Arabidopsis thaliana: one gene and its partners. The protein of the gene in region 4 interacts with the protein of the main gene of each other region in a biochemical or structural test. Each region holds a gene or a part of one and is shown on either strand. Other genes may lie near its edges.

Evidence for each region.
Region 1: the proteins of HSP90.1 (region 4) and SQN form a complex in vitro, tested with the Arabidopsis thaliana proteins (one study listed by BioGRID).
Region 2: the proteins of HSP90.1 (region 4) and SGT1B are reported together in a solved structure, tested with the Arabidopsis thaliana proteins (one study listed by BioGRID).
Region 3: the proteins of HSP90.1 (region 4) and TOC64-V form a complex in vitro, tested with the Arabidopsis thaliana proteins (one study listed by BioGRID).

The regions. Positions count from the first base shown.
Region 1 is NC_003071.7:6,875,791-6,883,707, reverse strand, and holds SQN (peptidyl-prolyl cis-trans isomerase / cyclophilin-40 (CYP40) / rotamase), read left to right. Parts: upstream 1-2,809; 5' UTR 2,810-2,964; coding exon 2,965-3,135; intron 3,136-3,523; coding exon 3,524-4,024; intron 4,025-4,123; coding exon 4,124-4,211; intron 4,212-4,321; coding exon 4,322-4,374; intron 4,375-4,934; coding exon 4,935-5,039; intron 5,040-5,160; coding exon 5,161-5,236; intron 5,237-5,378; coding exon 5,379-5,416; intron 5,417-5,510; coding exon 5,511-5,564; 3' UTR 5,565-5,595; intron 5,596-5,693; 3' UTR 5,694-5,934; downstream 5,935-7,917. UniProt on the Arabidopsis thaliana protein: PPIases accelerate the folding of proteins. It catalyzes the cis-trans isomerization of proline imidic peptide bonds in oligopeptides.
Region 2 is NC_003075.7:6,849,072-6,856,477, forward strand, and holds SGT1B (phosphatase-like protein), read right to left. Parts: upstream 4,842-7,406; 5' UTR 4,649-4,841; coding exon 4,489-4,648; intron 4,162-4,488; coding exon 4,092-4,161; intron 3,987-4,091; coding exon 3,862-3,986; intron 3,754-3,861; coding exon 3,627-3,753; intron 3,549-3,626; coding exon 3,452-3,548; intron 3,334-3,451; coding exon 3,268-3,333; intron 3,189-3,267; coding exon 3,050-3,188; intron 2,925-3,049; coding exon 2,845-2,924; intron 2,759-2,844; coding exon 2,654-2,758; intron 2,552-2,653; coding exon 2,444-2,551; 3' UTR 2,113-2,443; downstream 1-2,112. Other genes in the region: AGL52 (AGAMOUS-like 52), read left to right, coding at 507-1,496; AT4G11270 (Transducin/WD40 repeat-like superfamily protein), read left to right, coding at 5,390-7,406.
Region 3 is NC_003076.8:2,925,442-2,933,746, reverse strand, and holds TOC64-V (translocon at the outer membrane of chloroplasts 64-V), read right to left. Parts: upstream 5,575-8,305; 5' UTR 5,432-5,574; coding exon 5,190-5,431; intron 4,986-5,189; coding exon 4,833-4,985; intron 4,744-4,832; coding exon 4,619-4,743; intron 4,529-4,618; coding exon 4,403-4,528; intron 4,295-4,402; coding exon 4,112-4,294; intron 4,029-4,111; coding exon 3,884-4,028; intron 3,701-3,883; coding exon 3,532-3,700; intron 3,361-3,531; coding exon 3,223-3,360; intron 3,115-3,222; coding exon 2,914-3,114; intron 2,804-2,913; coding exon 2,676-2,803; intron 2,597-2,675; coding exon 2,545-2,596; intron 2,291-2,544; coding exon 2,221-2,290; intron 2,077-2,220; coding exon 1,997-2,076; 3' UTR 1,726-1,996; downstream 1-1,725. Other genes in the region: AT5G09430 (alpha/beta-Hydrolases superfamily protein), read right to left, coding at 385-502, 585-652, 745-837, 929-1,585; EICBP.B (ethylene induced calmodulin binding protein), read right to left, coding at 6,456-6,578, 6,651-6,995, 7,095-7,677, 7,838-8,305. UniProt on the Arabidopsis thaliana protein: Chaperone receptor mediating Hsp90-dependent protein targeting to mitochondria.
Region 4 is NC_003076.8:21,349,970-21,357,015, reverse strand, and holds HSP90.1 (heat shock-like protein), read right to left. Parts: upstream 4,460-7,046; coding exon 4,337-4,459; intron 4,022-4,336; coding exon 3,880-4,021; intron 3,795-3,879; coding exon 3,514-3,794; intron 3,426-3,513; coding exon 1,869-3,425; downstream 1-1,868. Other genes in the region: AT5G52650 (RNA binding Plectin/S10 domain-containing protein), read left to right, coding at 13-15, 130-178, 377-656, 751-883, 1,161-1,235; MEF1 (mitochondrial RNAediting factor 1), read right to left, coding at 4,875-6,641. UniProt on the Arabidopsis thaliana protein: Functions as a holding molecular chaperone (holdase) which stabilizes unfolding protein intermediates and rapidly releases them in an active form once stress has abated.

The DNA of each region.
Region 1 (7,917 bases), on a different chromosome or scaffold from region 4:
AGCATCCCTTAATCCGTTATGGCCCTGTTGAAACTCTCTGATAAGTTATTGCAAACATCCTCACAGCAAGAATGCCCACTGAAAAAGGCTCTACACCACGTCTTTGGCTCTGTTTTAAGCAAATCCTCATAAGCAAGCGGATCATAACTTTTCAAAGCTCTCATGTTGTATGTGTAAGTACCATCTGTTGAGCTGTAGGCAATGGCCCAGAAGTAACTCTCATGACAGTAGTCCCCGTAAACCTTCTTCCAATTGGAATAGATGTGCCTAGCACAATGCCTATGTTCAGCCTCTGGAAGCAAGTCAGCAACTGCATTGAGCAACCCCTTCTGCTTATCCGAAATAACTGTCAGTCCATTACCCACACCTAACTCCAAATCCTTCTTTAGGTGATCCACAAACCAAGCCCACGAGTCATTGTCTTCCACCCTAACTACAGCCCAAGCTATAGGGTAGATTCTATTATATGCATCCCTCTCCACAGCTGTTAGAATCTCACCCTTCAATTCTCATTTCAAAAATGACCCATCTAGACCAATGATAGGCCGACAACAATTTTTCCAAGTTCTACTAAGAGCTTTAAAACATACATAAAACTTGTCAAACTGTTGCTTACCACACTCTCTTGGGATGGTCACAATATCAGTGTGGATATCCTTATTAGACCTTTGAAGTTCTGCCTCATAATCCCATAGCTTTCCAAACTGAACTTTCTGAGTTTCTACCACCATGTCTAAAGCCATTCTTCTTGCTTTTTGGCATATCCACTTAGACACAGAGAGTGTGTACCTCATCATAATCTCATCTTTGATGTCAGTCCATCTCAAAAAAGGCCGCCTTCTTGCTTCATCTCTGAACATCCTAGCGATGACTCCCTGTTTCAGCATTTTTGCTTTCCCACTCTTAGCATGGTGATGCTTATCAACATAAGTTTATACTCTCCATATACCTGAACGCTTATGAGTGGAGCAGTATATCTTCCACTCACAATTTTCATGGCTGCAGATTGCTGCCAACTTATTTGCACCCCATCTACACAACTTCACATCATAATTCATCTTCAATACATACCGCAAGAGTTGATCCTTAACCTCTTAACCACTATTGAAAGTCTGCAACATCCAAATGTATGGAGGTTTATCCTTCGAAAACTTCTGTCGAGATGATGATCTTTCTGCTTGGTCATACGCATCCCATTCATCATCTGTGTCCATTGCATGATCCGGACGCTCTACATCATAACACTGTCTCTCAAATTCATCTTCATCTTCAACCTCTTCAGCAACGGTTTCTTCTGGTACTGTGTTAATGTCTTCAGCTGCAGCATCATCAACAACATCATCTGCAGCTTCTGTACCATTGTGAATTTCGTCAAAGAAAGCCTCAAACCGAGGATCATCGTGCCTTCTTTCTTCTACTGGATCTTCTCCATTAGCTTGTACTCTTTCAGGGCACTCATTAGTTTCTGCTGCAGGCTCCTCGTCTATGATATCTTCGGCATCATCATCCTCAACTCCAAGTTCCTCGTCTTCTACAACATCATTTGGAAGCGGAAAAGCTGCAGGTACAGAGACGGCATTGACGATGTATATGTCAACTTCCCCACCAATCATCGCCTCACGACATAACTCCCTTATCCCACCATCTTTGTCGGCACCGATAACTCTTGCTGAATAGATTTCCTCTTCTGGAAGCTTGTACCAAATCGATTCGACTTCACCATTGACTCCATTTTCTTTGCAAGAATCGTCGAATATAGACCATGTCATCAGATCAGGATCCATCACCATGTCTTTCGCCTCGACCCCTCCAGAGTAATCGAACCCTTGGTCCGTGAAGGATACATCGCCTCTATAGTTTATGTTGAGTTTCAAACACTCGAAATCACTGGAAAATAGAAATTAACCGATTAGTAGTGGTAAACAAACTATAACCTAACTGATTCATAACCCCTAACCCAATTTCAAACAAACCCAGAAAATTTCAAACTTAAGAACCCTAAAAATTCAAATCGACAGACCCACAACACACAAATCGACATACCTCATCTTTTCGACTGTTTACCAACTGGATCGAACGCAGATATACCCGATCAAACGCTTCGAATCATCGCCTCTTTCAATTTCTAAGTTTTTTGGAGAGAAATTAGAAATTTGGGGAGTTAGGGTTTCTCAATCCCAAATCGATTTGGGGGAAAACAAATGAGGGTACTGTAGTCTTTTAGTTAGTCAATTAAACCGCGGATTGTTAACCATTAACCCCGGTTTAGTGATTCCGTCAGCCAAATTAACGTCTGTTAACGCGCATGAATGATTTAACCACGAACAATTAAATAGTGTTTTTCTTGAACAAAATTTAATATTTTGGAACTTTAGGTTCCAATCAAAAACAATTGGGTATTAAAGTTTTAAATAAAAAATAGTTGGGTTTTTTTTAGATTTTTTCCCTAAAAAAAAAGAATAATATTTTGCAAAAAAATTAAATAATTTTTAAGAAAAAGAAATAATAAAACCAAATATTTATTGTGTAGTGGCCATAGTGGGCAATCACCTACTATCCACTCTTATGGAATGTACCCGAAGGGACGAGTAATAAATTTCTTATTTTTTAATTTTGGCAGCAAGTAATAAATAAATTAATTAAAAGTTAAAAATAAATAAAAAGAGACAAAATTTGTTGGAGGAAGAAAGTGGGTCCTAGGGTTTTCTTCTATCTGTCGTTTTGATTTCTGCGTTTAATAAGAGACAAGTCCCCGTCTACAGTCTTTTAGAGACGGAAGCTACTGAGACAGAGATTCACACCATTGTTCTTTGTCTCTTCCTCTGATTCTTTCTCTCTCTCTCTCTCTCTCTCTCTCTCTCTCTCTCTCTCTCTCTCTCTCTCTCTCTCTCTCTCTCTCTCTCTCTCTCTGTCTCGTCTTTGTTTCGGTTTCAAGAAAGCAAGAGGAAGAAGAAGAAGAAGAAGATGGGTAGGTCAAAGTGTTTCATGGACATTAGCATTGGAGGTGAGCTTGAAGGAAGGATTGTTATTGAGCTTTACGATGATGTTGTTCCCAAAACCGCTGAGAATTTTCGATTACTCTGTACCGGTGAGAAGGGTTTAGGTCCAAATACTGGTGTACCTCTCCATTACAAGGTTCTCTCTTTCTCTCTATATCTTTGTTTATACTCTCTTATGTATGAAATGTAGAAATGGGTATTTGTTGTTTCTGTGATTTAGGGTTTGTGGTTTAATGGGTCATTCGTCATTGGGGTTTATAAAGATCAAAACTTGGTTAAATTTGCAATTAGTTGTGAAAGAAAGATCAAAACTTTAGGATGCAATTGTACTATAGAATGGTTCTGAATGCTTATGATTTGAGGTTTAATGGGTTTTTGCTCGTATTGCTGAATAGCTTCTGACTTTGTTTCAGTATTGCAATTAGGTTACTGTAGTTTGTAGTGGTGAGGTAAAGATCAAAACTTTAGGTTGAAATTGTACTATAGGATGATGTACTTATGGTATTTGGTGTATTTGTTTACAGGGGAATCGATTTCATCGTGTTATCAAGGGGTTTATGATACAAGGTGGGGATATATCAGCTAATGATGGTACTGGTGGTGAGTCTATCTATGGCTTGAAGTTTGACGATGAGAATTTTGAGCTGAAACATGAGAGGAAAGGGATGCTCTCTATGGCTAACTCTGGTCCCAACACTAATGGCTCTCAGTTTTTCATTACGACAACTCGCACTTCTCATTTAGATGGGAAACATGTTGTGTTTGGAAGGGTTACGAAAGGAATGGGTGTTGTTCGGTCGATTGAGCATGTTAGCATAGAGGAACAGTCTTGTCCTTCTCAGGATGTTGTGATCCATGACTGTGGAGAAATCCCTGAGGGTGCAGATGATGGGATTTGTGACTTTTTCAAGGATGGTGATGTGTACCCTGACTGGCCTATTGATCTGAATGAAAGCCCAGCTGAGTTATCTTGGTGGATGGAGACTGTTGATTTTGTCAAGGCTCATGGGAATGAGCACTTTAAGGTGCTTTTTCCATTGTTTTAAATTGAATATATACGTTTGTCTGTTCCATATTTTCATTTCTGTGAGTCTGATCTGTTTTTGACCTTGATTTACTCTCAGAAACAAGACTATAAGATGGCTCTTAGAAAGTACCGTAAGGCTTTACGCTATCTGGATATTTGCTGGGAGAAAGAGGGCATTGATGAAGGTGGTTTATCAGTTTTTCTCTCTATATATGTTTCCACTTACTTCATCTCAAAAAATATTTATACTATCCATACCAATGTTCCCACTCACTCTCTACTTGGGATCTTGTAGAGACGAGTACTGCCTTGCGTAAGACAAAGTCGCAGATCTTCACTAATAGTGCTGTAAGTTCATCATGCTTTTACACCTTTTTTAAAGCTACATACATCCTTGTTGATATCTTTTCTTGTAAGTTGAACATATCTACCTTATATGTGTGTGTGCTTTACGTACCATCTGAAGATTGATTGTCTTTGGAGTCGTTGATTTTTCCAAAAGAACTTAAATTTCTTACTCTGTTGGGTTTTTAACATTACAATTTTTTTTGTTGAATCTGCTTAATTCTTACGGATGAGCTGTACCGTCGATAGAATGATAAGCAATTGATTGTGAACTAAAAATTAATTTGAAGTGCTCTACACTGCAGACCTGTCATTTATGTTGGTTTCTGCTGTTTGATTAATTTCTTGGGAAAAAGTAGGGTAGGTTGACCTTGACATAAGCAGGATAATATTCTCTGAGATTATGCTTGTGGGACATACATTGCTCATATGAATTATTGTTTGCATCTCTGTTTACGTTGCCAGTGTTTTCACTTGTCCAACTTAATTGCTTTGTTGTGCCTGTATAACCGATTTTTTTTTACTATGTTATCTCATTGTATTGTAACTGGCTGTTGTGGCAGGCCTGCAAACTCAAATTCGGAGATGCAAAAGGAGCGTTGTTGGACACTGAATTTGCTATGCGTGATGAAGATAACAATGTTAAAGCATTGTTTCGACAAGGCCAGGTACTTAAAAACTTATTGTTTGACAGTTTTCTAGAACCTAGACCACAATAACGAAAATTCTAGATTTCTCATGAGAGGAAGATGGTGTCTATTTCTTATCTGCGTTTGTTTATAATGTTAGGCATACATGGCTCTTAATAACGTCGATGCTGCTGCTGAAAGCCTTGAGAAAGCTCTTCAATTCGAACCTAATGACGGTGAGTGATTCATCAAGCTTCTATTAGTTGTGGTTTGACAAGTTTGGTTCATCATTATCAATGTATGAACATAGTACAACACACTTAAATATATTACGAGAGAAATCTAACTAGCATTTATTTCTGTGAGTTGATTTTTCAGCTGGTATCAAGAAAGAATATGCTGCTGTTATGAAAAAGGTCGGTATGCGGATAAAGAACACAAGTTCTTTTTGCAGTTACTTTACTTCTAGTATAAAATCTTAGAGCTGACGTTAATAACCATGTGTTGCAGATTGCCTTTAGAGACAACGAAGAGAAAAAGCAGTACCGCAAAATGTTCGTATAGGGGGGGGGGGGGGTGCTCTGCTTCATTTAGGGTAAGCCTAAGATTTGTTGTTAATCTCAGAAAACTGACCTAGTGTAAGCTTTATGTCAACTAATTTAACTCTCAGGGTTTTTGATGTTGTCTATGTAGGTTTGGTCGGATAGTGAGGAAGAAGACTAACAAAAAGTGAAAAGAAGCATATAAAGAAAGAAAAAACATTCAAAAAAGGACTTTGGGAATTGTTTCTATTTCCCTCATTTTGGTAAACATGTTTTTACTTTTGCATCATGGCAAAGACTGATGCATAGTAATATCGACTGGGAAATTGTTTTTACCCAAAGGATAGATTCAGTGCTTGAGACTGTTAATGAAATTTTGAGTTACTTGGCCACTCTGAGTTCTTTGCTTTCTTCCACGATTTTTTTCACGTTTGCTTGAATCAGCAAGTGGGCACTACAATGCTAGGGAATTTTGGTTTCCGCAGCATGCATATATGCTTACAAAAAATCCATTGGGAACTGTTTCTATTTCCCTCCTTATGAAATAAAATCAAATACGATTATTTTTTTTTGCGAAAACAATACTTTCTTCTGTTTCTAAATGATTGATTTTCTAGAAAAAGAATTGTTTCTAAAAGATTGATTTTTAAAGTTTTTCATGTGATATTAATTGGTTAGTATTGTGAACTGTAATTTCCAAGAAAAATAGTTAATTATCATTGGTTTAGAGTTATAGAAAACTATAAAATAATAAAATAATATATTTATATTGTTTTCTTAATATGTGTGTTTTGCTAAAAATCAATCTTTAACTTAATAGAGCAGGTAGAACTGAAACAGTTTTATACTAATAAGTGTAGACCAACGACAATCACAAATTACAGCGACCGTCTCGGAGGACCTCCACCATTCTGACAACCACCGCCGCGACCACCTTTACCGCGTTGACTACATGATGCTGATACTGGTATTAGCTTCCTTCTCTCTGCTATTTTATTTATAATAAAAAAGAAAACTCACAATTTATTAAATGCTAACTAAAATTAATCTACTGATTTAATGAAAATACTCTAAATAGTGTAGGGTCCTTTTTATTGTTGATCCAAACTGAACCAAAATCGAAATTGTATCAAACAAATGAACTGATTTGCTTTCATTTTTTTCCGATTGATATCAAAACAATAACTAAAAAATATAGTTAAGGAAATCAATAAAATGAAATTTTAAATTCCTTGAAACTTTTAAAATTAATATATAATAATTCAAACGAAAAGCCGATATCAAATGAAGTCGATTGAAAATCAGTTTCTCTTTTGGATTAAAAATTCCTAAGAAAATCTATTTGTGTTTTAGGACCAGATTAACTCATATATTGTTTTACATACACTAACGAGAAAGAAAAGAAAAAAGAAGTATTGATAGAGAGACCGTTGATACGCCATGGGTGTAACTCTTGTCGAGAAGAAAACACACAGTTTATGCGCCAAGGGGCCGCCAATAAAGCCAGTAAAAGCAAGAAGACAAGCCCCAAACTCGAAGGACCCTTTTTTGCCATCTTTGTTACTCTCTTTTGTTAGTTTGCTAAACCGCTGAATTTAACGAGTGAACAAAAAAATTCAAACATAAATACAAACCAAGAGTTCTTCTTCGCCACACATTTAGTCAACAAAAGACTGGTTGAAATATTATAAACACGGCCTCGCAACAAAAACTGAGAAATTTTATTTCTTTCCACATCACATGACTTGTAATTTCCGTTGAATTTGTTTAAGTTGGCAATCCACCATAAACATGACTTGTTCTGGGACCTTGGTCTTCCTCTCAACTACAACTCTTCTTCTTCTTCTTCTTGATCGTCTCATTTCCAACCTTAACACAAGAACAATTCTCCATCGACAGAGACAGTCCTGTCCTGTATGAGAATTTCCCTCAAATGCATTATGTTTAACCCCACAAAGCAACTTCTCCAAAAACCTTAACCGTCTTGTCTTGTCTTGTCTCTTCAAATATCCTTTGTCTCACTTCCTACACTTATGGCTTCTACAATCTCTCTTGCGGAAGAGATTCGGATCAAGAACAAGTCGAGGCTATTGGGCCACATCTTCTTCTAATATCTCATGTCTTGTTCATTAGGTTAAGAACCACACATAACCTATGTCTAATCTTGTATAAGAGGCGTTGGCCGTGAATGAAACTCAATAAGAAAATCTCTTTAAGAACTTCTAAGTTTCTTGACCGAATACCTATGGGAAATCCGCTGATCACGACGATACCTATGAGAAATTTTATAATTTCTTTCAACATCACATGCCTTTTCGTTAGAATTTGTTTAAGTTCTCACAATCAACCAAATTGTTGCTAATAATTTGCATGTA
Region 2 (7,406 bases), on a different chromosome or scaffold from region 4:
GGTTCGAATTTTGTAAGGCAAACAGTTTGTTTTGTTAGATTGTTATCTGTTTTCTTATGGTTGAGGCAACATTATGTTTTGTTTAGATTTTTTTTGTAAAAATTGTGGAAGATGTTCACAGCATTTTCAACTGAAGAAAGTTGGGTTTTATACAACTAACCTTTTAGAAACATATTCTAAAAACATAAACGTAAAATTTATAAAAATAATAAAATGAAACTTGAAAAACAATTATCTTATTTGACGTAATATATACTATAAGCTAAATAATAAGAGAAGAGGTAACCTAGATTTGAGGATAGATACTGCTTTTATCTTCTTCACGCGTCGCCGACGCGTATGCTTGTTCCCGTAGGCACCAAGGCAATCTATATAAACATATTGAGTGAAGTTTCACAATCTTTCACCATCAATTCCACAATTCTGCTTCTTCTTTGTGTGTTATCTCTCTGTCGGAGAAAAAAAAAACCCTAGTTTCTTGCTTGGCGAATCAAGGCAAAATCACGATGAAGCAAGCTTCTTCTTCTTCGTCATGTAATCCAACAAGTTTAACAAACAGACTTAAAACAATCTTTAAGAAAGCAGAAGAGCTTTCGATTCTCTGTGCTATTGACGTTTGCGTCATCTATTACGGACCAGACGGTGATCTGAGAACATGGCCTAAGGATAGAGAGACAGTGAAAAATATGGCTTTGAGGTATAAAGAGGACAGAAAACGCAAGAAGTGCCTCAATCTTCATGAGTTCCTCGAGAAAGAGAAGGTGAAGGACAAAGACAAGTATAAGGGGAAGACGAATTATGTGAAGAACCCTAATTGGTATCCAAACTTTGATCATTACTCTCCTCAACAACTCTCTCAATTGATTCAGTCCTTAGAACGAACACTTTCTACTCTCCAAAAAAGGCTTCGTATTGTTGAGTCGCAGAAAAAACAGAACACAAACTTGGTGCATCAGAGTTTAACACCATCGTATCTGAACCAGACACAACACTTGGATCCTAGCAAGTTCTCGCTGTATATGTACAACCATGGAGATGCTACTCTCTCACAACTCCCACTGTCTGCTTCACAATCCAATCAACTCATCAATTACCAGATGCAGCATGGTTTTGGTCAGAACATGTGTTTGGACAACATCACCAACAACAACAACTTTCAACATCCTGGCGTGTCAAACACACAAGACTACTCACCGTTACTTTCGGCGAATAACTACGGGTTGAATAATCACTTGATGCAGCAACAGGATCAGCTTCATGGTTTTGATCAGAACTTGTGTATGATGAGTGAAATCATCAATAACAACAACGGTTTACAACATCCTAATCTCTCAAACACTGTTCCACATGAATTCCCTTATGGTAACACTAGCTTCTCTCAAGATATGTTTTCGAGCTATGATGGGAGCAGTTTGCTACAGACATCTTCTCTGCCACCTCTCCACAACATTCCTAACAGCTATTGTTTTTCTGACAACTCAAGACTTCTCTGCTAACAAATCTGTCCAAAAGGATTTGTTTTTTGAAGCTTCATTAAGAGTCAGTCAATACTTATAAGTAGGAAGCTGATCAGAGAGAGATTGAAGCTGTTTTTGCTTCTGAATTCTTCCTGCTACTGTCTTTTTTTATTTTACAGTGTTGTTATAACTGTAAAACAGATCCATTTGTGGAGATTTTGTTTTTACTTTTAAGTTGGTATTTCAGTTAGTATTATATATATATATATATATATATATATGAACTTCCATAAAAGTCTTTCACAAAAACTTGCATGAAACAAATTATAATCTAAAATCACTTATGGTGACAAGACTGTTTCAATTGGTTGATACAACCTGCAAAGTGAAATCCTTTACTCTTGCATCTTATAACAAACTTGTAACTTAGTATCCTTCTTGTCTGAATCAGCTAATATATACATGAAGATGGAAAGTAGCTCTGATTTCGTGAAGACAAATTCTCTGCACCCAATTACTGTGGCGAGTTTGACAATGCTGGTGCATTGATGAGTGTTGATGATAGCTTAACATGTTCATTTCAAATCCTTAAGGCATTTGAGAAGAAAGAAAGATTTGGATTCAACAACAGTGTTCCTAGACCAGGAACCCCAAAGGTGAAAATACTGTCTCACTATATAGATGCACATCGGTTTTAACTAAAGAAAGTTGGGCTTATACAACTAACCTTTTAGACCACAATGCAATTATGTCAAGAAATATTTAGATAAGCCTCTCGATAAAAGAACAAAGTTCCAAAACAACAGACTTGCGAGTTTTAGTTTTCTAATACAAAATCAAAGTATCAGAACGTTCTTTGAGACCACAACGCAAGAATGGAGAGAGACAAATTCGAGCAGAAACCAAAAAAGAAAAACACCTTAAAAGTTCAAAAGATTTGTCAGACTTTTTTTTAACAAAAACCAGAAAAGGGGATTTTAAGAAGATCAATACTCCCACTTCTTGAGCTCCATGCCATCTGGTGGAGTGCTCTCCACTTTCTTAGTCCCAACTTCTTTCCAGTTTGTCGACAGTACCGTCCCATTCGACTCTGCCTGTCAAACCCAAAAACCACCCGAGAGGAAAATCTCATTAGTCGAAGAACAAAGCAGAGTTATTAAACCAAAATTTTAAAGACCAAAGATAGATTTGCTCACAAATGATTTGTTCATTGCCCGCCTCATGTCTTCATCTGCACTCGAGTATATGTCGCTGAAAAATTTGTTCATAGCTGCATCTCCATCAAGCTTCTCATCCTTCTCCTGCGAAATTCAAAAGTGATAAGCAGAAAGAACAAAGTACAGCAAAGCCTCTAGTGTTAAGGATGAGAAGTTAGCGTTTGTGGAACCTGTTTCTTCACTTCAGCTTCCAACTTGTCCCAGTCTTTTGCTGGCTTAGAAGATGGGTACACTGGTCTCTGCGACAGCGCTGCATATGCACATAAAATCAAATGAGAAGAGAGAGAGACCACTTTGGGTTCAGTTTGTTTAAGGTTTTACGATTGTGGTTCAGAATAAAATAGTAAACGTAAGCTGGTATCTTCTGAGACAAACCTGATGAGACATTGGGTTTGGGCAAAACACTTTGCCCTTTACCATATTCAAGGGAGGCCCAGGTGATTATCTCTGCTTTCGCAAGACGGATCTCAACTTTGGTCGACAATACTTCAAATCTGCACTTCTCTGGTATTATCTGAAAAACACCCATGAAGAAGGATTTAGTAAAAGTGTGTGTGAAAACACCGTAATTACATATGTCAAATAAAATATACCTTCCCGAACAATCTCGGCTGGAGATGATAAGCTTCCTCTCCAGCAACATCAATGACAACACTCAGCTGCACCAAAATAAAGCCAAGATAGACATCTCAAATCAATACAGTGTTAAATTACAAAGAGAGATAGTTTCTGAAGTTCAGATAAAAGTCATGAATTCTCTGATTGAAGGATACTCACAATCTGCTCACCAAACTCGACAGTTACGTTCTCCTTAGGTACTTTTTTGGCGAAAATTGTCACCACCGCTTCTTCTGGTTTCTGGTAGAACTCGTGCCTGTTGAGCAATAAAGTTATGAGTATAAAATGATTCTGGAAATTAAAGAAGAATTTACATGTTAGATAACCAGACTACCTGAACATCGGTTTGGCAGGTGCTGCAGGAATTGGAACAGGAGGAGCATCAGCTTCCGTTGCTAGTGGTGTTGTAGAGCTTGAAGGCAAACTCGGTGGCATCGGCTGAACCAAATCTTTCTCTTCTTCTGAACAGAGATACAAAGACTATATCAAAATTATAGCCCTAGGCGCAGACAAATACCCAAAATCGTTTAGTAACTAATTTCTTAAGCTATGGAGTTGATGTAACATACCTGCAATACGAAGATCGCATTCATCTATCATCTTCTTAAACTTTGGTTCATTCGGTGCAACAGAAGCTCCCTTTTCCAGGGCTGCTTTAGCAGTACTATATTCTTCTAGCTTCATACAAGCAGTGCTGCGAACACAGTAGCAAAGAATCAGAAGATAGAATTATAATTCCAATCAAATTTGAACATAACATCAAATCATTCACTACAGAGAGATGGTGAAAATATCATACCCCTTTCTGAGATAGGCTTTTGCCAACGTTGGCTCCAACTCAATGGCTTTGTTCGCATCTACAACAGCTTCTGCTCATAGAAACCACAAAAAGATAAAATATCAAATCAAATCATCAAACAACAACAATTCAATCAAAGTACAGTAACTACAATTACAATTACTCAAATAAGTTTTCTTATCCGAATCAACAACCTCACAAAAGAAACCCTAAAACTAAAACTAAACCAAACCAATAACAAAAATCAAAACTTTGTTCCACTATCAACAGATCGAATTAAAGTAACGACAAAAGAACAAGACCCAGAACCCCAAAAGCGTCAACGAAGCAATACATCTAATAAAGTTTCAATCTTTAACGATGATATTAACGGTAAGGAAGAGAGTTATATTTATACCAGTGAAGTTATCGATTTTGATGTTGGCCTGAGCACGATCGGCGAAGAAGGCGGCGCAATTGGGATCCAAGTCAATGGCTTTGGAGTATAAGTCAACAGCAACATCGAAGTCATCATCTAGAAAAGCTTCTTTAGCTTTCTCTGCTAATTCCTTGGCCATTGATTCTTATCAGAGGATTTGAGAGAACACAAACAAGTCAGAGAGAGAGAGAGATTATAGAGAAAGAGACCGATTCTATTCCTCTAGGCTTTTTTTTTTTTTGCTGTGTTTGGGATTTTTTTTTTCTTTTAAGAACGTTTTAATACCTCTACTAGGTCATATAACCAAAAACAAAAAGGTAATTAGATTTTATTTTATTTTCTAATTTCCTTTTGATTTTATTTTTTAACATAAGATTGATTCTTGATAAGTCCAGATTTTTTAACAAATAAATTAGTTGACAAAAGAATAATACTGAAAAAAGGAAAGAAAACTAATGGTAAAGATATTTATAGAGAACTACAATAATTTAAAATAATCATTTTCTACTCATTTTGTTTATATCGTAATCGTTTACTCATAGTTTAGCAAATACAATGTGATTTGTGAATTTAGACTATGATATATTTTAACAAGTTATAATTTATATATTGACTAGATTAGGACCCGTCGTCCAATACACAGATTTAAGTATTTTAAGTTGATAATAATCTAGTAAAGTTAAAATATCAATTATCAAACTTTTGCCAAATATTTACCTTAAAAAATTTATTTGCAACCTCGAAAAATCCATCTAAATATGTACAGATATATTTGTCGTGATTACTGTTACGACGTCGTTTACCAGTTCGTTCTTCCTTCTTCTCTCACCCCGACTCGTTCACTGACTCGGTCGATGCTTGTACCGCTTGATTCAAGCCGATGAAGTGCCGATCTGTGGCCTGCCTATGGTCTCGTGCTCCTCCGTCTCATCGGGTCACCGCCACAGCCTCTCTAACCAATCCACCGACTCTCTATACCGGTGGATCCGATGGGTCAATCATCTGGTGGAGCATCTCTTCTTCTTCCGAATCCAATTCTGTAACTCGTCTCCCTCATCATGAGATTAAACCGATTGCTATGTTGTGTGGCCATACTTCACCAATAGTGGATCTTGCTATTTGTGATCCTACAATACTTTCAAGTAATGGAGTTGTTGCATCAGATAATGGTAATGCGGATCCATTTGTTAACTGTTGTGCATTGATCAGTGCTTGTACTGATGGTGTCTTGTGTGTATGGAGTAGAAGTAGTGGTCAGTGTAGGAAACGAAGAAAATTACCTCCTTGGGTTGGAAGTCCATCGATTTTGTCTACTTTGCCATCAGAGCCTAGATATGTATGTGTTGGTTGTTCTTATATCGATGTTGATGGGGCTGAGACTTTAGCAGATACTGATTTTCAGAAGTCGAGATGCACGGTGGTTGTTGTTGATACTTACACTCTTACTATTGTTCATACAGTTTTCCATGGGAATTTATCTATTGGTTGTTTGAATTTTATGGGCGTGGTTCAGTTAGATGAGCAGGAATCATTGCTTATGGCTGATTCGTTTGGTAGGTTGCAGTTGGTCTCAGTGTCAGAGAAATCTGAACCGAGCAAAGGCTCTCTAGTGTCTAGAAACTGGTTGAGTGAAGGGGAAATTGCTGTATCAGTAATAACTCGAGGGGATCTTGTTGCGTTTTTCTCGAAGAGTAGGTGTGTCTTTTGGTTGTTGAATCGCGAGGAGGCAATAGGAGAGATATCTTTTGTTGATGATTCGCATTCTTCAAATTTTCTGTTCAAAGAAGCAATGATACTTTACTCTAGTACATCAACTATTGAAGGTGATAAAGATGATAGTATTTCTGAAACTTTTGTGCTGTGGGATGGTAGTGGTTCTGCTGTGCTGTTTACTATGTCATATATAGATGGTGAATTTACATATAAAAACTTCGGTGAGATTGTTACTGCCCCTGATGATAAGCGTTCCGTGAAATCAACGTTTTGTTTTGTTCAGTTGAGGCAGAATCTTCTTCGCGTTGAGTCTAGTTGTTGTGATGTTGAACAACCTTCTCAGTGGAGGCCCCATATAACGATCTGGTCATTGTGCCTAGGAAATGGTAAAGAAAAAGAACTTCAGCGCAAAGTGCTTGGAGAAAGCTCCTATTTTGCTGATTGGATTTCAAGCTCCTGTTTAGATCCCAAGGGCTCGGTTAGTGCAGAAACTGGTACTTCGCAGTCAGGAAGTCAGTGCAGTGCCAAAAATGATCTACAAAGCTTTGTTAGTGACAATGGACAGTGTGTGTCATCGTCCATGGTTATTTCTGAGAATATGTATGTCCCATATGCTGTTGTCTATGGTTTCTTTAGTGGTGAGATAGAGATTGCAAAGTTTGATTTTCTTCATGGAATTGATTCTCCTGCTTCAAGCCCGAGATCAGATACTGATCCACTCGTCTATAAACAGCGTCTATTGGGACATACAGGATCTGTTCTATGCTTAGCAGCGCATCGAATGTTTGGGGATGCAAATGGATGTAATTCTTCTCATGTTTTGATCTCCGGAAGTATGGACTGTACCATCCGCATTTGGGATCTCGAAAGCGGAAATGTTATCATGATCATGCATCATCATGTTGCTCCAGTGCGCCAGATCATTCTATCCCCAGCTCCAACAAAACGCCCATGGAGCAAGTGCTTTCTATCTGTTGGGGATGATTCATGTGTTGCTCTTTCTTCTCTTGAGACTTTGCGGGTCGAAAGGATGTTTCCTGGGCACCCAAACTATCCTACAAAAGTTGTATGGGATGGTACAAGAGGCTACATTGCATGTCTTTTTCGCTCCCTTTCGAGAAAATCAGATCCAATTGATGTCTTATACATTTGGGATGTGAAAACAGGTGCTCGAGAACGTGTAC
Region 3 (8,305 bases), about 18 Mb from region 4:
CGATAGTCGATAGGGGAGCCACATAAAATTGGACCATGCAAAGAACTGTATATAATTTTATTTAAACTCAATTTTTTTTTTTTGTTTTCAATATTCTAACTTCCTTTATCAAAGCCCACCAATCAAAACAAAGGCCAGCTAAAATAGGCCTTTTAATTGTTATTGCCTTATTGGATATTTTTGTTGTAGATTGTATAACTCAGGCTCTGCAGTTGTCAAGTTCTATCTGGCGTGGATAAAATAATCGTATTTGTGATCTAACAGCTAACATAATTTCCTAATAGACAGTTGATGTTTTAAGCTTTTAGACAAGAAAGAAAGATCACCTATATATTGAAGAATAGTGTAAAAATAAAAATGGTTGATATTATAGGAAAAAGTAATTCACAAAGAGTCAATGAGAAAAGATTTCAAATGCTTGACAAATTCCTTGGACTTCTCCAAATTCACAGCATGTCCTGCTTTCTTGATCACCACTATCTCTGCACTCTCTCCTATATGTCTGTTTCACCATACAATTATTATAAACACATAAAAAAATACAGAGGGTAATCTCTATAGTTAATATACATGTTGTTGTTTACCTTTTTAATCTGTAACCTAGTTCCAGTGGAAATATTTGATCTTCTTCTCCCCATATGATCAACGATTTCTAATTCAACCAATAAACACACACATACACACAATGTTATAGGAACTGCGAAATTTACATAAGCAAATTAAAATCCGAATAAAGGTTTGTACCTGTTTGATCCTAGGAAGATCAGAAAGTCTCCTATCTTTGAGTATTGATTTGATCAAATCTCTCTTCTCCTCTACAAACTCCGTACACATTACCTTTTCAACATTTTGAACAACATTTCTCAAAACTCCAACATTTATCAACAAACAAACAAACAAAGACATTATTATAAAGGAAAAAACTTACATCGATAAAATCCCAGAGAAAAAACGAAGGAACACCTTTGATTGGTTTAACGAAAGAGAATCTTATGAGTTCCTTAAGCTTTTCCGGCGTCTGAGGAATCAAAATTCCGGTAGCTTCTTCTAGATTCGGCACCTTAAACAATCCGTCCTCCATATCTTTCTCCTCCAAACAAACCCCTGCGCAGCACAGCACAAGCTTCTCAACGTTCTCCGGAAACTGCGCCGCTAAACTATACCCAACGAATCCACCGTAACTAATCCCGACGATGTTCATCCTCTGGACTCCGTGCGCTTCCATTAACCTCATCAGACACCGAGCCTGGAAAGATTCGGTTCGGTTTGGTTCCGATGTGGATGATAACCCGAAGAAGAGGAGATCGGGAACGTAGACGTTGAATCGGCCGGTGAAAGCTCGGAGATGTTCTCCGTATTGCCACATTGCGTTGGCGCCGAATCCGTGGAGGAGGAGGAGATTAGGTTTAGATCGATTCGGGGATTTAGGAATCCAACAATGCATAGCTGTTGATGCGATTGAATTGCCGTGGGAGAGATCTGTCGTTACGGAACGTAGACCGGCGTTTGCGAATGATTGCCGGAATAACCAATCTCGCGACGCCGTGAAGCTGAAGCATCGCAGCAGTTTCATATGATCAAACATTTTTGATTCGAATAATTCAAAAATGAAACAGAGGAGAAGATACGGAGGCGTGACGATGACGAAGAGGAAAAAAACAAACAACGAATTCAGTTATTTGTCGAGAAATTGATTGTAAACGTGTCATTTATGGGTCCCTCCGTGTAATTTAAGGAATTACAGTATTGGACTTGGGGGAAATTGTAATTTACGTAAAAGACCGTTAAGAAAACAAAGAAGCTAAAAGGACCCCATAAAACTTTTCAGATCAAGTAATTAGAGGTAGAAGTTTTCATCCCAATCTGTACACATGTCACAAAACCACTAAATTATTAGTCTGTTGAAACCGGAGCAAAACCTTTCCTTTTTAGGGTTTTAGATAAGTGAAAAGATAGATTGGTGAACAAGAGAAATCGAGTAATAATCCTTTTTAACTCATATGTGTTTTCGGAGTCTCTTCTCAGCAACCTTTGCCGTCTTGTTCTGTGGTTCAAGGACCAATGCGTGCCTGAAATCTGCAGAGATGATCAACCATAATGTTACGCTCCAATACCCTACTAGAGAGAGTAACTCATCTGGATAGCTAGATGAATTTTATCTTTTAACAAGTTTCTCCAATGTGATAAAATTACAATCTCAGAGTAGTTTAATCATCATACCTGCAGCAGCTTCCTTGTACCGTACAAGTGATTCTCTAGCAGTCCCTCGTCTCAAATATGCCTTCACATTCTGTAGAAACAAATAACTATTATAAGAATCAAAGCTTCCAAATAATGCGTCATTGTGTCTATAGTGAGTGATCTGAGTGATAATGAAACTAGATAGTCATAGTACAAAGGTATTACGCCGCAAATCAAATAAATAAAAAGTGAATAGTTTTGTTCCAGCTCAAGTGTACTTAAACACAAAACCATGTTAAAAACACAATGTAACAAAACAAACTACGAGGGATGGAGAAATAAGGCAGCTAATCAAGTTTTCACCTTCTTATCGATCAACATGGCCTTGGTACAATCTTGTTCGGCTTGTTGGAAGCTATAAACAAACTCTCAGATCAGAAAATCATAATAAATTATATTCAGATCAGAATGAAAGATATGAAGAGAACAATTACCAGCAAAGTTCCAAGAAAGCTGCAGCTCTATTGCAATAATAAGTAGCATTTGCTCCATTCAATTTTATAGCTTCTGTATAAAAGTTTACCGCCTTATTCCATTGTTTCCCCTTGTATGCAGCATTGCCCTGGAATTACATTTTATCCACTGTTAACTTTGAGAACATTCCAACTCCAGTAGCATATCATGGATCAGAACCAAATATACTATTTGTCAAACTCAAAGAGATAGTTTTACCTTTTCTTTCATAACTTCAGAAGCCTCCATGTTACCATTGGTGTCAGACACTGGAGCTAAGTTGGATGCAAGTTTGGCTTGGTCTTGAAGGGATGCATATACATCGAGAGTTGTATCGAGAAGGAACTTATCACCTCCATAGTAAGTAAGAAGCGACACGGATATTGGACGATCACCATGTTCCCCTAAAGGAATTGTAACCTGAAGAATATGTATATATTTGTGTCATGACTAAAGACTGAAGAGTAAGGAAAAGGCAACAAGAATGTTCCCCAACCATTGAATGAGAAAGAGGAGATGGAAATATACCTGACAACATCCAGACATGCTTGCAATGCAGGAGAGTGCATAAGTACGATCAAGAAACTCATTCAAAGATTTATTTCTCTTTGTGTTAAGCCTTGGAGGGGGATCAGCAACTGTGGGGATTACCAGAATTCCATCTTCCTAGTAATAAGATACCGATCTATGGTTAATCATAATACCATAGAACTAAAAAGAAGCCGCAAAAATGAAAGTTAATAATTCAATCTCTTCAGACTTCAGTGTTTTGGTGGCAAAATGTCCTCAAGACACTAATGGCTGTGAAAATTTTAAATTTCCAAAAATCGAGTTTACCTTTAAAAGGCTTTGAATGGTGGCCCGCATCTCATTTTTCACTCTGTAGAGGGATTTAATGCTCTCGTTTTTGCTCTTCAGAGCTGTAACAACATCATTGGAAAATCTTGGCCCTAGAAACGATTTGCATGTTTGCCACCATTCTTCATGATTTGTTTTGAACTCATGCCTGGTAAAAAGAAAATCCTTTCTTCTTCGATATTTGCATATAATACAACTTAAGAAGAAAATAGTAACCTCCAGCAAAGAGGGAATAACAACAATCTTTTATTGCACCCGTTTAAAAGGAACGAGAGAGAGAAAAAAGTATTGATGCAGTGAAAATTTCAAGAAGTGTGAGCTTCTTAAATACCTTTGTATAGCCAACATCACAGATGAAAGAGCCCTTAAAGTTGATGCTGAATTTTGGGATTTCCCAGATTGCTCACAGAATTCCGCAAGACTTGGTACATTTGAAGCGACATATTGGCCAACGTTAACATGTTTTGGAGTCTTGTCTGCATGAGCCAGTGGTCAAGAGACATAAGATATGAATCTGGAGAAGGGCAAAGAGAAGGAAACAATACAGCTGCAAACTTACAGCCAGATAGATTCTCGATTGCCTTTCTGACAACTTGCACCGACTTTTGCTTAGGAATGTCAGAGAGCTCGAATAAATCATCAGCAAAGATTAAAGATCTTTGCCTTCTATGTGTTACTGCACTCAGATTTAGTAAGGCATGTCCAACTTGACACAAAACGGATGGATCAGAGGCAAACCATCCTACAGAACGAATCAATGAGTTCAATAATCAGGAAGGCAAACACCTAGAGTAGCATGTACCATTGAAACTACACTAAAAACACTAAAAGGGAGGGGAATGTAACGTACCAACAGTCTCTAGGCTCTGAGAATTGGGCAAAACTCCAACTGAAGAAACAGTCCCCTGAGATGGTCGAAAACCAAGAATACCACAAAAGGCTGCTGGGACTCTAACACCACCAGTGGTATCAATCCCTGCAAATCAAGCATCTTTTGATTAGCATAAAGAACCAAACGTAATCCAAGAAACACATTACCAAGAGAAAACGAAGAGATTAACAATACCAAGTGAAAAGTCAACGAGTTCAGCCCCAACAGAAACTGCTGAGCCACTGGAACATCCTCCAGGAACATTATCTGGCATCAATGGATTAATAGGAGTTCCATAGTGCTTGTTTTCTCCAATAATCCTGTAAAATCACATTCAAAACACAAACTTTCTTCAAACCAACTACCGAAAGGTCATTTCATATGCAGAATGGTAGGAGTGGAGAGATACCCAAAACCCAGCTCATCCATTATAGTCTTGCCAACACAAGTAGCTCCATTTTTCAAGAGCGTCGTGACAACCACAGCAGTTTTCTCAGCAGCCTCATGAGTCTTCTTCCATTGTGGACAACCAAATCCTGTGATATAATCCTTAACATCGAACCTGTCAAACCATTAACCCCGATATAACTTTATTCATTTCATTGCAACATGACTTCGTCTAAGCAAGTCAAAATCTCAATTAAACCAAACAAAAGTTTTGAACTTTATAAGCGAGATCATTATATAAAGCAGGAAAAAACAAATTTGAAAATAGGTTATGATTTTTAAGAGAGAGAGAGAGAGAGAGAGAGAGAGAGATACATACGCGTCGGAGATGGAGAAGGTAAGACCAGAGAGAGATTGTTTAGCAGCAGGAGGAGGAGGCGGAGGGAAAGGAAGAAGCTCGAAACGATCTAAGAAAGCACCAAAGTCTTCTTCTCTAAGGGCTCTAATCCGCCGCTTCCGGGTCTCCGCCAGAATCACGATCCCGGCCACCGTCACGCCGATCACTACCCAAACTTTGGGATTCGAGGCATTGCTTTGAATCAAAGAAAGCGTATTCGACATAACGCGATCTCACGAGAAAGAGAGAGAGAGAGAGAGAGAGACAAGGGTTTTAGGAGGGTTTAAGAGAGAAAAGGGGAAAGAAAAATAGGAGAGAGATTTGGAAGAAGCAAACACAGATGCTATCGTGCGCACTGTGTCTAAACCCTTTTAATTACGAGTGATGACTTGGCCAGCCGTGAACTCAAGTCCGTCTGCCCAAGGCGAATCTTCTCTTTTTGATTGATTAATAATTGTCTTTACGAAATCGATAAAGAAATTAAAAAAAAAAATTAAATTAAGAAAAATGGAAATTTTAATTTTAATTCCTTTATTTATTAGAATTACTCGTTTCAATTTTTTTTAATAAGCTTGTACAAATTGATTTAGGTTTATAATTTCTTTTGTTGGCCATTTCTTCTCTTAATGAACTTTTCCACTCGTGGAAAAATAGATTTTAAGCTAGTCAAGCCACTAAAAACCTCAATATAATAATGAAAAAATTAAAATATATACTGCTATAATTTATTGTTAAGTTTCCATTTTCTGTAGCCTTGCCCGTCAATCCAATTTTATCTTCAGATTATAGGAAAATCCAAGTTAAGTTTTTTTTATAGCTTTAATGGTTTACCAATCCAAATTTGGTAGATAAAATGGCATGTCGACCCGGATTTATAACCTTTAAAAGTTAGCTCAATATCATACTACCATTCAAATTTAAACTATAACAATATGACTGATGTATGAGTTTGACCAAAACAAATATGATGTATAAATTGCAGAAAACAGCTAATAAAGAGAAGAATATTCAATACGGATACAAATATGAATCAGAGTAATCCAACACTTGGCTATATAATATTAGCAGAGAAAAGCCAAATGAACAAATAAAAAAGTTATATATTGTTAAGACGAAAGAAAATAGTGAATAATTCTATTTCAATCCAAGTAATAAATTAAGCGGTAAATATCAACTATGGTATTTACAGAGAAGAAATAAAGTTAGAAAGTAAAAGAAGGAAAAATGAATACGAGTCAGAAAGTAAAATCAAGGAGAAATAGACATCATCAATGTGTCATCGTTCAAAAGAGACTCAATGTCAATAAAATCGTCTTCTTCACAGTTGACTGCTTCTTCTTCTTTATTGTTTATAGATGCACTTGATGAAGCCTGCAACAACAATTTATCACAAGAATGCTCAACAAAATATGATTAACTGATTATGTTATGGGTCTTGGGTACCTCATTTTCACGGAAGCCCTCAACAACCGTTAGGAGTCTACGGTATTGATCCCGTGCTTCTGGGTATTGAACCATCGACTTAACACGAGTCAGAGCCTTCTGTAGCCTTTCCTCTGTTTGTTTTCTTCCCTCTTTAAGATAATCATACTCATCTTCCTGTGGGATCCTAGGACATATAGCTGATACAGGCGGTTCCGGTTCCACGGTTTTGGCGACTGCATTGCGTTTAAACCCTCTCAAACCATTACCTTTGCGTCTCCAACGCAAAATGATTTTCTCGAGTAATCCCACAGACCAGATGACTGTTCGGTATTGTTTCCGGACCTGATGTCCTCTCACATGAGCCTAAAGGTAAATGTAATATGATTCCAGCAATGAGAAACCAGACAAAAGACTTATGCAAAGAAATAAGGGGGAGAAAAAAAAACTCAATGAAAGGCAAACCTGAATTTTAACGATTCTTTGTCGGATTAAAAGAAACTCTTTTCTCTTCTTCCAACCACGATATTTCTTCTGGATATGGGTAGCAGCACAACTAAGAGAGACATCACCCTGTCCTGGATTCTTAGTTTTAGAAGCTGCAAAAGAAACAGCTAACTGGTCGGAGATATCAATCTTTTCATCATCGCCAATATCACACAGCTGTTTCCGTTGGAATGATTGCATCCTGAATACTTGATGGAGACGATCAGCCGCTTGCGTAGCATTACGGACAGCAGTAAGTGAATCCTTCAAGGAAAGTTTCTCTGGTACATCGCCATAGGTCATAGGAGCAGCGGTTCGCTCAGAGACTGTTTGAACAGCTTTTTCTCCACAAGAGTTGGCAGGGCTATTTTCCTTTGAGTCCACTGTTAGCTTTTCAAGATAACTAGTTAAGGAAGACTCTGCAAGAAATCCCGAAATTCCCCTGTGTCCATTTGCGTAAGCCAAATCAGCTGCTGTTTTACCCAATGGAAGCTCTGGAGATGGATCCGTTAATGCCCCAGCATCAGCACCTAGAGAGACAAGCACAGCGACAGTTTCCTCCCTATAGTTAACAGGAAAAGGAGTTAGTTTGATATGGCAATGTTGACCAAATAATAGAGTTAAAGCATCATCAATGTGAGCATCTTAAACGAAATGCAAAATCTCAAATAATAATATTATGATTAAAGGAAATTGAAGATATGTGAGATAGAGGTCCATACCTGCCACTAAACGCAGCCCAATGAAGGGCAGACCAGCCATTGGCATCACGGAAGTTAATGTTAACTCCTGCTGCTAACACCGGTTTAATGGCCCAGTCATACCCAAGCGCTGCAACAAAGTGTAAAATACCCTGTCCATCTTCATCCAATATGTTTGGACCTTTACCCTCTTCAGTCACTTTATGTATGAGCCATATATATAGTTCTTCTTCAAACAGTTCCCTAAAAAGCTGTCCTTTTGGTTCTTGTTTGGTTGAGTCTCTCTGATATGTCCCTGGAAGGAGATACTCTTTCTCCTCCTTTAGCAACATAATTTTACTGATTTGTCTTCGTTTGTCCCCAACATCTTCGAATATATGGTGTTCGTGAACAAAATCCCTGTGAGCAAGCATCTTCTCAAACCGCAACTGAAGTGATGCTTCATTTGTATAGGTACCATAAACATCTGTAGCATTGATTTTTTGGGTA
Region 4 (7,046 bases):
CCTACCGATACAATGGTAACACACAAGCTCTGCTTTTGATCTATTTCTCTATTCTCATCATATTCTCCGGTGTCTCAGAATGTTGTTTCGTTGAATTTTGACCATTTTCTTCTTCCTTCTTGCTCTCAGATTATCTCAGAGGCTAACCGCAAAGAAATCTGCAAGTACCTCTTCAAAGGTTCGTTCTTCTTAAATTTGTTCTTAGATCTCTGTTTTCTTCAGCTTCTGTGAGTAAATTGATTCATTTTTAGGCTTATGCCGATGAACATTGTGATTTTTGAACTAGTTTAGGTTAACTAGTTATGGTAGCAATTATGATGTTTGGCTTAGAAGGTGAACATTGTGTTGATTATCATATGTTCTATGATTTTTGCAGAAGGAGTTTGCTTTGCGAAGAAGGATTTCAATCTTGCTAAGCATCCGTTGATCGATGTCCCCAACCTACAAGTGATTAAGCTTATGCAGAGTTTCAAATCCAAGGAGTATGTTAGGGAGACATTTGCCTGGATGCATTACTATTGGTTTTTGACCAATGAAGGGATCGAGTTCTTGAGAACTTATCTTAATCTTCCATCTGATGTTGTTCCTGCTACTTTGAAGAAGTCAGCTAAGCCTGGTGGTCGTCCATTTGGTGGCCCACCTGGTGATCGCTCAAGGTGATTAACTCTTTGCTTAACCCATTTCATGTCTGGCAAAAACTTTTTTTTTTTTTAATTTGTTTGACATGGTTTGGGTTTCTTTGTATTTCAGAGGACCTCGCCATGAAGGAGGAGACCGTCCCAGGTTTGGTGACCGTGATGGGTACCGTGCAGGTCCTCGAGCTGGTGGTGAGTTTGGAGGTGAAAAGGGTGGAGCTCCCGCAGATTACCAGCCATCTTTCCAAGTAAATTCTCACTGACCATACCTTCTATTTACTTCTCTATCTCACCAACGTCATATAATGTGCTACTCTTGAAGTCTTTATCATAGAGCTCCTGAACCTGAGAAACCATGAACATATTTAGTCTCTCTTTATCACTTTAGTTACAAGGAACATAAATCTTTTACTTTAGCTGTGAAGTGTTTCAAAGTCTATAGTTATATAATTGCCTTGTGATTTGATTTACCCGCCTTCTCTTTGTTTGGTTGCCATTGTTCTAACATCCTTTCTTGTTTATCAGGGAAGTGGCCGTGGTTTTGGCCGTGGTGCTGGTGGCTACAGCGCAGCTGCACCATCTGGTTCAGGTTTGCCTTGAAAAAGAAATGTCTTTAGGTGACAGTAAGACCATGGAGGAGTTTTCAGCTTTAAATTTTGCTTTTGTAATTCAGATTCCGGAATCCTTCATAATCTCTATCTGAGTTTAGTTTTGTTGTTGAATCAAACATCCGATTTAAAGTTATGTTCATTCCATCTTCTCTCCCCTTTTCGAGCATGCGAGAATATGATTCCCCCTATTGAACAAATCAATCAACCTTTAAGCGATAACAAATTGGTGTTGTGAAAATTATTAACTTCTTGATCTCGTTTTGTCAGATCTAAAATTACTATAGCCAAGCTACCTTTCACGTCAAGTTGTCACTCCTATCTATTCCAGTGATCTTAGGAAGTCTATCTTTTGGAAGTCAAGTTTTACTCTAGGGAACCAAAAGATTTGTTCAGAAACAAGAAAAGTTCCTTAGCTGAATAACAAAAACTTGAATCAGTATTAGACAGACCCACCACACGATATAACAGACCTGACACAAACCCAACCCTAGAAGTAGTCACAATGTTCAAGTAACTCTAAAGATATAAAAAAAAAGACAAAGACATTTTGGAAAATCTTAAAACTCAGAACAACTCGACATATTAGAAGTTTTCAGAACCATAAGAGCAATTTCTTCATCTCTTAGTCGACTTCCTCCATCTTGCTCTCTTCAGCAGCGTCCTCCTCCAACTCAGGCATATCACCATCTTCCTCAACGTTCTCATCCTCATCAATACTCAGACCCAACTTCAACATCCTGTGAATCCTAGCAGCAAAAGTGTTCGGTTCATCAAGACTGAATCCAGACGTCAACAAAGCTGTCTCATACAGCAACATGACAAGATCTTTAACAGACTTGTCATTCTTGTCTGCTTCAGCTCTCTTCCTGAGCTCCTCCATTATACCGTTGTCGGGGTTGATCTCCATTGTTTTCTTGCTCGACATGTAACCACTCATGCTGCTATCTCTCAACGCCTGTGCCTTCATAATCCTCTCCATATTTGCAGTCCATCCATATTCACCAGTTACTAGACAGCAGGGAGAGTCCACAATCCTGTCTGAGACCACAACCTTCTCAACCTTGTCCCCGAGAATTTCCTTAATCGTCTTGCACAGATTCTCGAAGGACTTCTTCTTCTCTTCCCTCTTTTTCTTCTCTTCTTCGGTCTCATCTTCAAGTTTGAGGCCTTCTTTAGTCGCAGAAACAAGTTTCTTACCGTCATACTCCTTCAATTGTCCAACAGCGTATTCGTCAATCGCATCCACCATGTAAAGTACCTCGTATCCTCTCTTCTTCAGCCTCTCCAAGAAGGGAGAATTCTCCACCGCCTTTTTGCTTTCACCAGTGATGTAGAAAATGTCCTTTTGACCTTCCTTCATCCTTGTGACGTAATCTTTGAAGCTCGTCATTTCATCACCACTCTTTGTGGAGTGGTACCGTAGAAGATCAGCAATCTTTCCCCTGTTCTGACTGTCTTCATGGATACCCAATTTGAGATTCTTGGAGAAAGCCTCATAGAATTTGGTGTAGTCCTCTTTGTTCTCAGCAATCTCGTTGAACATCTCAATGCACTTCTTCACTAGATTCTTCCTGATCACCTTAAGGATCTTGTTCTGTTGAAGCGTCTCACGAGAGATGTTGAGTGGCAAGTCATCAGAGTCAACAACACCTTTCACAAAGCTGAGGTACTCTGGGATTAGCTCTTCACAGTTGTCCATAATGAACACCCTCCTGACATAAAGCTTGATGTTGTTCAACTTCTTCCTCGTGTCAAAGAGATCAAACGGAGCTCTCTTTGGTACAAAGAGAATGGCCTTGAATTCTAGCTGACCCTCCACTGAGAAGTGTTTCACGGCTAAGTGATCTTCCCAGTCATTGGTCAAGCTCTTGTAGAAAGCAGCATACTCTTCCTTAGTGATCTCTTCTGGCTTCCTCAACCAGATCGGTTTCTGCTTGTTGATGAGTTCCCACTCGTGAGAGACTTCCTTGATTTTCTTCTTCTTTTTACCATCTTTCTCCTTCTCCTCATCAACTTCTTCAACCTCACCTTCGTTTTCTTTCTTTGGTTCATCTTCATCCTCATCGTCACTGATCTCCTTCTCGGTGGTTTTCTCGGTCCAAAGGTAGATAGGGTAACTGATGAACTCAGAGTGCTTCTTCACCAAGTCTTTGAGTCTCCTCTCCTCCAAGTATTCAAGCTGCATGAATAAACACACTTGTAAGAACACAGAAAACACCAAAAGAAAAGAAACAATCCCCAAAACACTCAAAGCTACGATTCCTTACCTGATCGTCCTTAAGGAAGAGGGTGATCTTAGTTCCTCTACCAAGTGGTTCCCCATCCACATCCCTAGTGACAGTGAAGGAACCACCAGCTTGAGACTCCCAAACGTATTGTTCATCATCATTGTGCTTTGTAGTGACAACAACCTTCTCTGCAACAAGATAAGCAGAGTAGAAACCAACACCAAATTGTCCTATCATGCTTACATCAGCTCCAGCTTGAAGCGCCTCCATAAACTCTTTTGTTCCAGACCTCGCAATGGTTCCCAAGTTGTTCACCAAATCTGAAAAAATAATAGAGAGTCATAACCACAGCACATACACTAAAACATCTCACCAACGAGAGATTATTAGGCATTGATTCGTTACCTGCTTTGGTCATGCCAATACCACTGTCAATAATTGAGAGCGTCTTATTAGACTTGTCAGGAACCAATCTAATGAAGAGTTCAGGCTGTCCATCGAGCTTGCTCTTATCCGTTAAGCTCTCAAATCGGATCTTGTCAAGAGCCTACAAAACCATTCATATAAACAAAGATAATCAGAAGCTTTCCTCAATCCTCTAGGGTAAATCAAAGACTACATCGAAGCAAGAACCGTTCTATATATGTAACTACAACACATGAAGATCGAGCACAAGCTAAGAATTCTAAACTTAACGTGATGCACAAGCCAAATCACGATTTATTTGAATAAGCAATCACAACGCTAAACCTACGAATCCAACGCTATCAACGAATCCAGGAATTAAAGAACAAACAACATGCAAGAAAATAGGAAGCGGACGAGTCACACCGAGCAGAGAGAGATTTGAAGGGAAACTTACATCAGAAGAGTTACTGATGAGCTCACGGAGGAAGATTTCTTTGTTGCTGTAGAACGTGTTGATGATCAAGCTAAGAAGCTGGTTAATCTCAGCTTGGAAAGCAAAAGTCTCTGCATCAGCCATCTGAACATCCGCCATCGCAACGAACTTTGATTCAACGCAAACGAGAAACGAAAGAGAATGCTAAGAGAAAATTTGGAACTTCGAGAGCGTTTCGAGAGATTTGTGATTGTTTTGTTGATTTATGAAGAAGAGAGGAAAAAACAAAGTGATTTTATAGAGGAGAAATAAAGTTCTAGTCTCTTCTTTTGAAATAAAGGAAAACCAGTGATTTCTGGATTGTTCTTTGAAAACGACGCCGTATTTCGATGAAATCAACCGTTTTTAGCTTTGTGAGCAAACGAATTCCAGAAAGTTCTTTTCGTTTCGAGACTCCACTTGTTTCAATTCCGAATAGGTCTGGCAAAGAAATTTCGCCGGTTCAGTGTGAACTGAATGAAATTATGGTTAAATATAAACCAACTCTCATTTGTCTTCTTCACCAATAGTCATTACAAGAACACTTGCCATCTTCAAACCGATGAAACCGATTATTATCTCTCACAATGATCACTCGTCTCGTACATACGGACATGAACTTGATCGCGTTATGGCAATCACCGCAAACACGCAGATTCTTCATTACTCGGATCGGTCTATCAGCTGGAAACGTGATCAGTCCAAAAGCAATAGCTAATCTCTCACTATGATACCTTATGGTTTGATTCTTCTCGTCACCATCCACTTCTCTCAGAACATAGCTTGTGTCTGCAATGTAACCCGCTTTCTCCATCTCTTCCCCTAACTCAGCCAGCTTCTCATATATCTCCTTGCTTTTCTCATGACGTCTTTCTCCAGCTGCAAATGTATGAACCTTGTTCCTTTCTTCAACCCAACTTAGCCCTGTTTCCTTCTTTTCCCCTCGGTCTCGAAGCAATTTTCTAGCTTTAGCTGCGTCTTCGAATCTACCATCGGCTGCATAAGCATTGGATAACGAAATGTGCATACCGGAACTCACTGGTCCTAATTCGAAGACCTTGTCTGCTGCAAATGCTGCAAGCTCTGTGTTCTTGTGGACTGTACAACTCGTTAATAAAGCTCCCCATACAGATTCCGTGGGATCAATCGGCATATTAGTGATAACTTCAAGTGCTTCTTGTAATCTACCAGCTCGTCCTAACATATCCACCAAGGAAGCGTAATGCTTATCCGTCGGCTCAATCCTCGATTCTTTCATCTGATCAAAGTAGTATCTCCCTTCATCAACTAGACCCGCGTGACTACAAGCATTGAGCACATTCAAAAAAGTTATGAAATTTGGTTTCATTCCAGAAAGCTTCATCCTTTTGAACAATTCAATAACCTTTTGAGTATGTGAATGTTGCGCATACGCCTTGAGCATAGCGTTCCAAATCCCGAGATTCTTCACAGGCACCTCGTTAAAAACTTGATAAGCTCCTTCAGGAACACCACACTTTGAATACAACGAGACTAAAGAACTTCCCACAAAGCTAGAAGAATCAAAGCTAGACTTAATACTCAATCCATGAATCTGTCTACCTAACTCAAGTAGAGTCGAATTTGCACAAACACTAATAACACTCGAAAACGAGTAATCATTAACAGCGAGATTCTCAAACAAAGCTTCTTTAAACAACCACAAAGCTTCCTCATTTTCACCCATTTGTGCATACCCATACATCATCCCACTCCAAGTAACAACATTTCTCTGAGGCATTTCGTCGAACATCTTCCTCGCATAAACAATTTCTCCACATTTCGCATACATATCAACCAAAGAACTCCCCACAAACACATCAGCATCATACCCAGTCTTCATCGATAGACAATGAACTGATCTACCAATATCACAACGACTCAAAATCGCACACGACTTTGTAGCTGATGGAAGAACATGATCATCAGGTCTAAGGTTTCCCGCCATCATTTTTTTAAGAAACTCGAGTGACATCCATGGAAGCTCGTTCTGGGCAAAACAAGAGATGATTGAACTCCAAGTCGTCGAACTTTTTTGTGGGCTATCTTCAAAAGCTCGACGAGAATCAAACGGAAGCTGTGATTTGGAGTAGAAATTAATGAGGTTGTTAGCGACGAGAGGGATAAGAGAAAGGCCTGATTTAACGACATAGCCATGAAGCTGAAGTCCTTTAATAGTTGATCTGGTTCGAGCTGAAGAAAGAAGAAGATCACAGATTTGATTGTAATTGTGACATGGAACGAAGAAAGCTGAAGAATTCAGAGCCATGGGGAAGAAGATGGTTGAACTCAGTGAGAAACCAGGTCTCTTATTGGGTAACGTTTCACAAGGCCCATTAAGTCGTTAGGCCCATTAGTGACTTTTAGTGCCATTGCCTTTGAAACCCTGAAGTGTCGCCTACGTAGTCTGGAACTGGAAACCAAAAGACACGATCTTTAAAAAACTCGATGGAAAGGGAAGACAACTCAGACACCAAGAATTATGACTTTGAAACTAGTTGTCTAAGCCTGATTAAATTAGAAAAACATAGAGAGCTTCTTCGTATGGGATTAGAAGAAAGCTCTTCGAAGCATAGACTGGAGAGCATATACGTGACTGAGTTTAATACTAGTTTCAAGATTCTTTGCATTGGTATGGCTAAGTTATATTGTGTCCACTGCGTTATAATTTTAC